Linked DNA regions of Arabidopsis thaliana. The protein of the gene in region 2 purifies or fractionates together with the protein of the main gene of each other region. This does not show direct contact. Each region holds a gene or a part of one and is shown on either strand. Other genes may lie near its edges.

Region 1 (5,081 bases), on a different chromosome or scaffold from region 2:
TTCGTTGACTGAGAAAAGAAATGATCAAATGGACTATTCAAGAACCCATATCAAGAAGTAATGCATGAGAATCAACACATCAAAATTCTCAGAAAACAAACAAATTGTTTTTTACCTGAGTAATAGAAGTGAAATTGATGTATGGTCAACCGCCATGACAAAGGAGTTCAGAAAATAAGATAGTGTGATGATAGAAGTGAAGACCCAAATTCATAAACTTGATGAAAATCTTGAAAACAGAGTATGGTCGAATGAAAGATTTATCAGAATGTTAGGATTGGCGAAACTCTTTTTCGAAGGAGATAAAATCGACAATTCAACGATGAAAATGTATCCGTTAGATGCGTATTAGCTATTTGTTTTGATTATTTATGTAGCCGGCAACAAGACTACGTGCTGGCCTTGATCATCATCAATCTTTATACTAATTTTATAAACCATTAATAATGTAGGTGTTTAGCTAGAAGATCTAGTTCATGGTTCGATATCGGTATTAAGAATATGCGATAGTTATAGGTGGAGCTAATAGACAAGTAAGTAATGATATAAAAAATGCTTTTGAACGTGCTTTAAGCCTACCATCATGTGCCACAAGTCAGATTTGGATACTATTATTCTCCTCTCTGCTCGGTCACAACAACTCACAAGTCAAAAGTCAAAAAACCACTTTTCCAAAGTTTAAGGCACTTTTCACAAAATTCCAAATTAGAAACATATCAGACTTTCTCGATTTTATATGTCGAACCAACGTGATCTTAGCATGTGATTAAGTACACATGGGTTTTGACTCTTAACACAATACAACACTATACTGTCTTAACATCAAGTAGGCTCAAGGGGATGTAGATGACAAGAAGATTGGCTTAATGGTGCCTACGACGGTCTTTCGATGAGTCGCGGTAGTCACGGTCCCGAGAAGAATGATGCCTTGATTTATCTGAATGTCCACCTGAATCCTTCAATCTGTCTCTTGACCGATGATGACTTCGATCTTTGAGTTTGTCTCTCTCCCTATCACTGTCTCTGTCAGAATCTCTGCCTCTGTGAGACCTACCCCTGTCCCTCTCTCTACCTCGTTCCTTCTCTCTATCACTCTCTCTTTCTCTATCTCCTACTTTACTTCTTTCATAGCTTGAGTCTCCTACAATTGGCTGAGAGTTTGACTCGGTACCACTTTTCTTGGAATCTGTAGCCTTTTCGTGTGGTGTAGTAACCATTCCATCCTTCAAGTCGTTATTAGCTGATCCTGCAGTACATTTAGTATCAACAGCCTCGCCTGCTCCCGGCAACAGATCCTGTAACAGTGTTAAAAGCACTTCAAACCTAGCTCTGATTACAGACATAGAAAATGCACTTGGATTGCAGATTTTCCCAAGCCGAAATAATAAAGTAGACAGCCCTTTTTCAATACTATATAACATGCAATGTGGTGGTAGAAACTCTGTTTACTACTGTGTAAGAAACGCACTCAACTTTAAGAGTCTATAATAGCAGTAATATGGACAATAATCTCATGTTTTCACAAAAATTACAAAACCAAGAAAGCGATCTACCTCACCTTTGTCGCTGATTGACCTTGAGAATTCCCGGATCTGCTAGAAAATGTAAATGGCTTCCCATCCTTGCAAACAGAGATATACTGAGCCTTTGGAAGACTGTATAAATGAGCAAGAACTCTACACACTTCGTCAATACTAGATTTATCTGCATCAAATGCTTTCCACCACGGCGGATTCTCAGGGAGTGGTACTTGAAACCTACGGGCAGCAGCATACACTACCCCACAAGCCACAACCTCACTTCTGAACCTTACACAGAGGGTTGTACGCAGACTGCATTATAGACATATCATGAGATTAAGATAAAATCATAAAGGAATTATCAGATATTGAGAAAGTATAACAAACATACTCAAAATCAAACTAGAACAGGAGAAATGCCAAGCTTCAGGATAAACATCAACTCTAAAACCTATCAACACTATGATGTGTAGCTAACTATTAGGAAATCATATGAAATAATATCCATATTAGGATTTTGAGAATAGAGATTACCTATCATTGGCCAAATTCCAAGCTTCTTGCCTCAATTCTGGAGGTGTTTCTAATGTGGCAAGGTAGTTTGATATGAACTTGTGAGGATGTTCAACATGACAAACAAAACCCATCTCTTTCAGTATATGTCTCTCAGTTCTGCTTAATTCAACTTTCAACTCAGAGAACTTCTGCAGATATTTAACAAGTAGGAAAAAAGATGAGATCCCATAAAAGTACTTCCAAATAAAGCTATCCCATGAGTAGAAACAAAATATACGAAAAAAAACATTCAATATGACAAATGCAATTGCAAACTAACCTTGGCATACATATCCAGATGTTCTAATGGCAAGTTCTCCCTGCGACACTCCATCCTGTGGAATACGATGATGACCTGTCTAGCTTTTTTAGGGTTTTCTTCCAGTTTTGATGCAAGCCATACACAGCTGGCAGCAACTATCTGTAAAAATTAAACTACATATCAAATCATTATGGTCATAGGCAGGAGTATATACACTCCTAAAGAATTATCATACTTTCATAAACACACAAAACTAGAAGAAAGAAACAAAATAATTTACCTTGACATCAAATTTAGCCAAAGACTTCTTGCAATAGAATCGCTGAAACAGAACCTGCCCAGTAGCCATAACTGCCTGTGGTCTAAAATAAACAATCTAAGTTAAGAAAATCACAGCTACGTAACATTTGAGTCTTGCTTAATAATTAGACCAAGAAAAAGGATACAGTTTGAGCAATATTCCACCCTCTTGGATGAGATCACATCCATAGATTCTAAGAGAGATTTCAGTTGTTTCATCTATCCCATCTTTCCTCGAAGGTGAAGCCTTCAGCTGCTCGTCGGATAGGTAAAAATTGTCGATAGCAGTGTAAATCATCGATTCACTAAACAACAACGGTCACTGTTTAAAATCAAGAGAAGAAAAACTTAGATTACAACAGCTTTACTTCAGATATCACAGCCAAGAACGTAATATCGCATACGAGAACAAAATCGAAATAATGAACATTATACACATGAAATCAATTTGTGACTAACAAAGTTAATAAAACATCTCATAAATGAAAAAACACAATTACAGGTTCTATATTAGCCAAACTTCAGAATTAGGATTCTGCCAAAATTCAGAATCTCACAAATTGATTGCTATAACAGAGAGACGAGACTATATTGTCGATTTTTGCTACATTTAGTAATGAGATTACGCCCTAATTTCAACTGAGATCAAGCAATTAAACCTAACTGAGATTAATCGCGATTAGAAATCAACACAGGTTGGATTAAAAGGGGAAATGGTTTAGGATGTACCGGAATTGGGAGATAGACGGCGGCGAAACAGACTCGCGGCGAGGAGAGCGGAGAGACGAGAAGAGGCGACGAAATCGGGAAATCGAGTTTGTTGGAGAAGTGAGGGAAAAAAAAGAAGAGAAATTAGCAAAAAGGAAGAAAATAAAATAATTGGGCCTACTCTAACTAGGCCCTTATTGGGCTTAGGAAGGAAGAAAAATGTTTTTAGGATTCGATGATACATGTAATTAACTAATTAAGAGATCGATTGTTTGAACTGTGGTGATGTCTCTGCTCCTTCCATAGATGTTAAATAATCTAAAATTAAAAATTTCGATAAAAAGTTCTGATGGATCATGCATCTAAATTTTAAAATGTGTTGCCAACATTCAGGGAGACAACACGACAAATTTATAATTTTCAATTTGGAAAATAAAATATTTGATTGCTAGACCCGCAAAATATATTCAAATCAAAAGTTACAAATGCAGCCCATAATTTTTGTATGCTCTTAGATTCGAACTACCAAATCCAGAAATAAAACACAAAATTACAGTAAAGGTACTCAAAATTCATATCAAATTTCGAGATTCGTCGAAGTTCGAAAGAAGATAAGATCGAAATCGAGACACTATAGTGAAGAAGAAAGAGTTTGTTTGAAATCAGAATTTTAATGTGAAATCTCAAACTCTACACATAAACGATGTCATTTGTAGTTAAGTTAGAAATTAAAATGGCCTTTTATGGGTACCTATTTATTTGAAAGAAAATTTGCATAATTAATAGGTTTAATCGGACTATCCTATTTAACATTACTTAACATTTTTCTATAAATGTGCTTAAATGAACTATTTTCTCGTAAATAAAGTAATCAATACTGATCTAGAAGTACAAAAAGCAATTCAAGAATCAATCATTACTTTATTTATGTATCAAACTTATATTTCACATCGTAGGCAAATGCCGTTACTAATCAATTTCAAAAAAATTGTTAAGACTAAAAAGCCCCAATTTTTCCAAAAAAAAATTTTACTAAGAAATTTTATTTTATTTTGAGTTTTGCAATAGGTCCCATAATGAATTGAGCCGGGACTGGATAGGACCAAGTGTCGTATGATCAAAATATACAATTGTGACTGGGTTGGGTCTAAAAGTCTAAAACCATTGCCTGAAACGTTATGGTTCCTCGTAGTTATCGTTAAAAGAGAGATTGTTTCAATCTTACAGATCTTATTAAAATAGTAACCGATGTGAATGTGATCTTATTACTAACAAAATCAAAATCCAAATTAAACAACAATCAGAGACATCGTTTTCTCTATATACTATATTTACTTAAACACGATCGATCGAATATTCAACCAAAAAAGATATTTGTTTTGTCGTCTAACGAAGACTAAACAAAACATTAAGTAAACCCATTCCTTTGTACTTTTAAAAACATAGCAGTCTCTTCTCTACTTGCTCCAAGCCTTCAACATTTTCTTCTCAAATGGCGCTCTCCTCTTTCAATCTCTCTTCTCTATTATTCCTCCTCTTCTTCACTCCTTCCGTTTTCTCGTATTCGTATCAACCTTCTCTAAACCCTCATGAAACTTCTGCTACAAGTTTCTGCAAAAACACACCATATCCAGATGCATGTTTTACCTCCTTAAAACTATCCATCTCCATCAACATAAGCCCCAACATTCTCTCTTTCCTCCTCCAAACCCTCCAAACAGCTCTTTCCGAGGCTG
Region 2 (4,649 bases):
TCTTTGTTAAAAGGCAATATAAGAAGGTTGTTAAGTAGGAAAGAGACATTCTAACGAGTTCCGTGTCTTATAGCCTCGTTGGTGGGTCGCATGACGACGTACGTGTGCACCTTCCAATATGTGATTTTTTTTTTTGGTTTAATTGTAATATTTAAATTGAAAATTATGTCAAATACGTATATACAAATATATTTATTTAAAGGATTGGTAGTCGGTAGGAAATGCATAATTTTTATGTTTTGTGAAAATTGGTATAAGATTAAGAAAAATAATGTTTATGAGCAATGGCTCCGTCACTTTAACTTTTATCTATACATTTTTTTGTGCGTCTAATTAACATTAAACAAAGGGAAGCTCAAGGATCATTTACAATACAATGCATTATGCATTATGCATGGATATATTCAAATTTGAGTAGAAAATTCAATTTGTACCACACGAAACCACAAGAAGTAATATCATGGAAGAACCATATTATATTGGTTTGAATCTATCCAAGAAGAAAAAAATGGACGGAGGAGCTTTTCTGCATTCTGATTATAGGAGAATAAGGGATGCAACATCTTAATATAGAGAGAGAATATATGTTTCTAAATACAAAAATTTATATTGTATTTCAAATCGTAAACGTTATGCTCGATAAATTAAAGAGTTTCGATACTTTCAAAAGCAATTACTTGTCCCACACACCACTTGACAGGAGAGCAGAGGATTTCACAAAACTGGCAAATAACTGAAACTGTCTCGTCTTTGATTCTCTTAACCCACAACTCAAACCAAACTGACCAACAGTTGTTTTGCTCTGAACCTATGTTACTTAAGAGCAAGGGAGGCGCCTCATTGCATTTGAAGTGGCTCGACGTTCTCTAGTTTCTCTTCTAAGTTCCAACCCCTGAAACACACAACCCCACGAGTTTCAGTTTTACGCTTAAAATTCAACTCTTACGAGTGATATAAAGAAGTAAGACAACATTTTCCTCACCTTTCAGCAGCTTCTTTCTTGAACGAATCGATCTGTGTCTCAAGCATGGCACAAGCAGACTGAATCTCCATATTCTTAACACAGAGCTGTCTCCATTCTTGAGATAGAGCATTGAGCTCGTATGATGTGGTTTGCTGATAATGGCCACACAACAAAGTTTTAGATTACCCCGTAAACCAAACAGAAAAGTGCAAGGAAGAAGATGAAGATAATTCAAAAGAGTTGTCACCTGATGATACTTCCTTTCCCGATTTACTTTTTCAATTTCCTCATTCTGCTCCTGTGCTAGTCTTTGCATTCTGCAAATAGGGTTCAAATAGAGGGTTGAAATCAATCTCACTGTGGTTAAGTTCCAAAAGCCAGAGACTGGGTACAGTTTTATAAAGAATGACATGTTACAAGCTCACGAAGACCTTTCTTATGTTTAAAGGAAACAAAGAAACTTTCAAGCAGAAAGCACATGAAGAATAACGAAAGGCAAATCTCGTGTACTACAGCCAAAGAAGCATATTATGCAAGCAAGAGGGACAACATATATATCAATAATGCTTCAGCAGATCATCTAGGATATATACAATCCATCAACCAAAAAGCTTAAACCCTTTTACTCATTCAAATTCAATCAATGCTGCAGTATATACAAATGTGAACAAACCTGGTCAAAAATACTTCAAGGCGATGGTTGTTCTGTCTCCAAAGCTCGGGGCCAAGTTTTGACATCAATTCCAAATTCTCAAGCCTGTGAATGAAAAAAATCCACGTTTTAAAACAGGAAAACCCAGTATATACAGAAGAGAATCATGTATTAGAAAAAATCAGAAACTTTGCTTACTCAATCAGCTTCTGTTGCAATGACCGTTGATTCTTCTGAAGATACTGCTTCCAGGCAGCATCATCATTCCTCTTATTGGCAGGTGGCATTTCAAGTTTGTATCGGGATTCGAAATCTATCCGCACAGGAGGCTTCCCAGCTCTAACACGCTCATACTCTTTGCCAAGAACAGGGCAGTTCTACATTCGTTTTCAACAAAACAAAAGCGACAAATCAATCAATACCTTTAGACCTAAATCATAAAACTAGCTACAAGATCATAAAACTTCTACTACCAAGACCAGTTGCTCATGAGGATTCCATTCAATCTTAAGATTCTAGTTGATTCTGAACCCTTAAACTAAAATTAATTGAACCTTAGATAAATCACTAAACACTATGCTCCTCTTTTCTCTCCGTTAAGAAAACGAATAGAAGAAGAGAACAAGAACCCTATCATAACAAACCCAAAATCAACACTCACTCCTATAAAGTCCAAGATGAAGTAAAACCCAGAAACCAAAAGATTGGAATTCACCAAATTCCCTTTAAACCCTAATCCAACAAAATTTCCAAACCCTAGCTAGAGAAACGAACAAACAAATCGATAAAAGGATTCACAGTGAAATTCACCTTAAAATCGAACTTCGGAAGAGGAGGCAAGTCCTTTAGAAAGTCAGCTGGCTTCTTAGAGCTCCGACGCATCTCTTCCTCCACCAAACGGTCTACCTCCGACTTAATCAATGGATTGCCATAGTCGTCGTCTATATAAGGAAGCGCATCGATAACTTCTGCATTCGCCGCACTAGCCCAGGGCCTCGCAGCCTCCGGCGTCGCCTCCAACATCAAGACATCACCATTGTTCGTCGCCATAGTCGTCTCTCAACTTCAGAAATCGAAAGTGTCCAGATAGTGAGAACTGAGAAAGATGGAGAGACCCAAGTTAATAAAAAAGAAGAAGTTAATATCACCGACCCGGTTTTATTGGGCCTTGGGCTTCTAGGGCCCTAAAAACTGAAAGATATGTAATACACGGTGTCCTTTTTTGTTGCTGCAATATTACTATATTAGTAAATGATTTGATATAGATATTGAACAATTATTCTAGAGATGTTTGGTTTTACTATTTTGAAGTAAATCGAAACATATGATAAAAAGTGATCAGGAAACAATTTTTGGCAATGGGGTTTAATAATGCTACTGAGGCATATTTGCGTATAAAAGAGTAAAAAAGAGTTTAACTTCAGGCAAATCTCGGATGAGTTGCAAGAACCGGTTCTTCTCCGGCTCAGCTGAAATCTCCGGCATGGTTTTCTCAATCTGTGGTAATAGCTTTGCCAATTGCATCCCTGTGGCCAGACCGGTCTGCGTTTCCATCTCCTCTACTAACGCAACGGCACAACACTTGAGTGAGATCTCTGCTACATTTGAAAAATCATTGCTGCAACATGAAAACAAGACCAAGAAATGTTTAACAGGCTACATTGCAACATTCTTGCTTTGAGCATTGAAGCAGAAACGAGGACAAGGCTTTAAAGAAGTGAAATTGTTCGTCTTTTGCGGGTTAAAGAGCAGAGATTTTTTTTACCTTGTGAGTACTTCCCGTGTCTCGGTTATGAGTAGATGAAACTTGGTAACAGTTGCATCAGAAGAGGAAACATCAGTGGTTGCGTCTTGGGACATCATTAGATAATCTACCCAGTGGTGTGGACTTCCTGTGCTCATAAACACATCGAGAATCCGCATCACAGTTTCTCGAAGAGCACTTGTGGTTAACACATCCTTTAACTGCTTTCTGCAATTAAACACACATAGTTAGATTTCGCTATACGTTCATAAAAGTATAGTGATTCTTCATAGGCATTTGAGTTTGAGGCACCATAAAATCAATCTTCAAGGATGAGAAACAAGGGAGACATCTTTGATAAGTAGGTTTGTAATGTAAATTACCCCTTGAGAACTTCTTTCACTGCGTTCTGCATGTTAGAAATCAAACTCGGCATGCCACTGGTCGCAAGAAAATCAGCGCTTGTCAAAAACTTTTGTTCATCATCTCTCTCTATGAGATCTAGTTCGTCCTGAGAAAAAAACATATCAAGGAAATGACGTTGGTAAAGATTGTGGTAATCCAGCCAAGAGTTATATCTAAGACCAATGAATACACTAATTTCGATAATTTTGAAAGGAAAAGATGCAAAATATCAACTTCTACCCCTTGAAATCTCAATTTGAAATTTTGATATCTCAAGATACAATGCAACAAGTAGAATGAAAGTACACAAAATTTTATCAGAATGACCAATTTGCTAGAAGTAGCTTAACAATGATTCTTAAGACAATAAAAAGAGAAAAGTAAAATGTCTTACAAGTAAATGGGAGCTCCCAAGACCTCTAGCAGTGTCGATATATAAATGTCTGCCCAAAATATTGACTTGAACCCTAATGTACAAACTAAGCATAGTGACCGACCAAAGGGACAAGACCATTCTCGTGAAACCTGAACACAAGGAAACACATTTAAAAAGATTGATTAATGAGAAGATCCAATGTTGCCACAGAGCACGAGAAGTACAAGTAAGGGAACAACAACGCACTCAAAATTTTGAGCTCATTCCAGAGTTGAAGCTTCTCAGAAGGAATCAATATTCCTTTGCCTTTGCTTAGCTTATCCATAATACTCGAGACATCAATCTCTTCAACTACACGACTACTCAAGTGATGAATTGCGTGAGGCAATGTAGTAGTATCAGCAATCATCTGAATGTTATCGAAATGTGCCTTCATTCTAACATAGAGCATAGAGAGAACAAAACCAATAAGGACTAGAAATCGATAAACAAGCAAAAAATAAAGACG

What was found.
Region 1: the proteins of MOS4 (region 2) and RCY1 purify together in Arabidopsis thaliana (affinity purification with western blotting, with the first as the bait; one study listed by BioGRID). This does not show direct contact.

What each region holds. Positions count from the first base shown.
Region 1 is NC_003071.7:11,242,570-11,247,650, forward strand, and holds RCY1 (arginine-rich cyclin 1), read right to left. Parts: upstream 3,490-5,081; 5' UTR 3,367-3,489; intron 2,960-3,366; 5' UTR 2,936-2,959; coding exon 2,784-2,935; exon of another isoform or gene 2,700-2,783; coding exon 2,618-2,699; intron 2,497-2,617; coding exon 2,356-2,496; intron 2,225-2,355; coding exon 2,055-2,224; intron 1,833-2,054; coding exon 1,559-1,832; coding exon of another isoform or gene 1,554-1,558; intron 1,296-1,553; coding exon 864-1,295; 3' UTR 559-863; downstream 1-558. Other genes in the region: AT2G26440 (Plant invertase/pectin methylesterase inhibitor superfamily), read left to right, coding at 4,838-5,081. UniProt on the Arabidopsis thaliana protein: Cognate cyclin for CDKG1. Required for synapsis and male meiosis, and for the proper splicing of specific resistance (R) genes. Involved in regulation of DNA methylation and transcriptional silencing.
Region 2 is NC_003074.8:6,221,265-6,225,913, reverse strand, and holds MOS4 (modifier of snc1,4), read right to left. Parts: upstream 2,790-4,649; 5' UTR 2,667-2,789; coding exon 2,427-2,666; intron 1,994-2,426; coding exon 1,815-1,993; intron 1,722-1,814; coding exon 1,638-1,721; intron 1,282-1,637; coding exon 1,212-1,281; intron 1,117-1,211; coding exon 983-1,116; intron 893-982; coding exon 838-892; 3' UTR 511-837; downstream 1-510. Other genes in the region: PEX3-1 (peroxin 3-1), read right to left, coding at 2,991-3,234, 3,382-3,588, 3,744-3,871, 4,160-4,290, 4,388-4,578. UniProt on the Arabidopsis thaliana protein: Component of the MAC complex that probably regulates defense responses through transcriptional control and thereby is essential for plant innate immunity. Involved in mRNA splicing.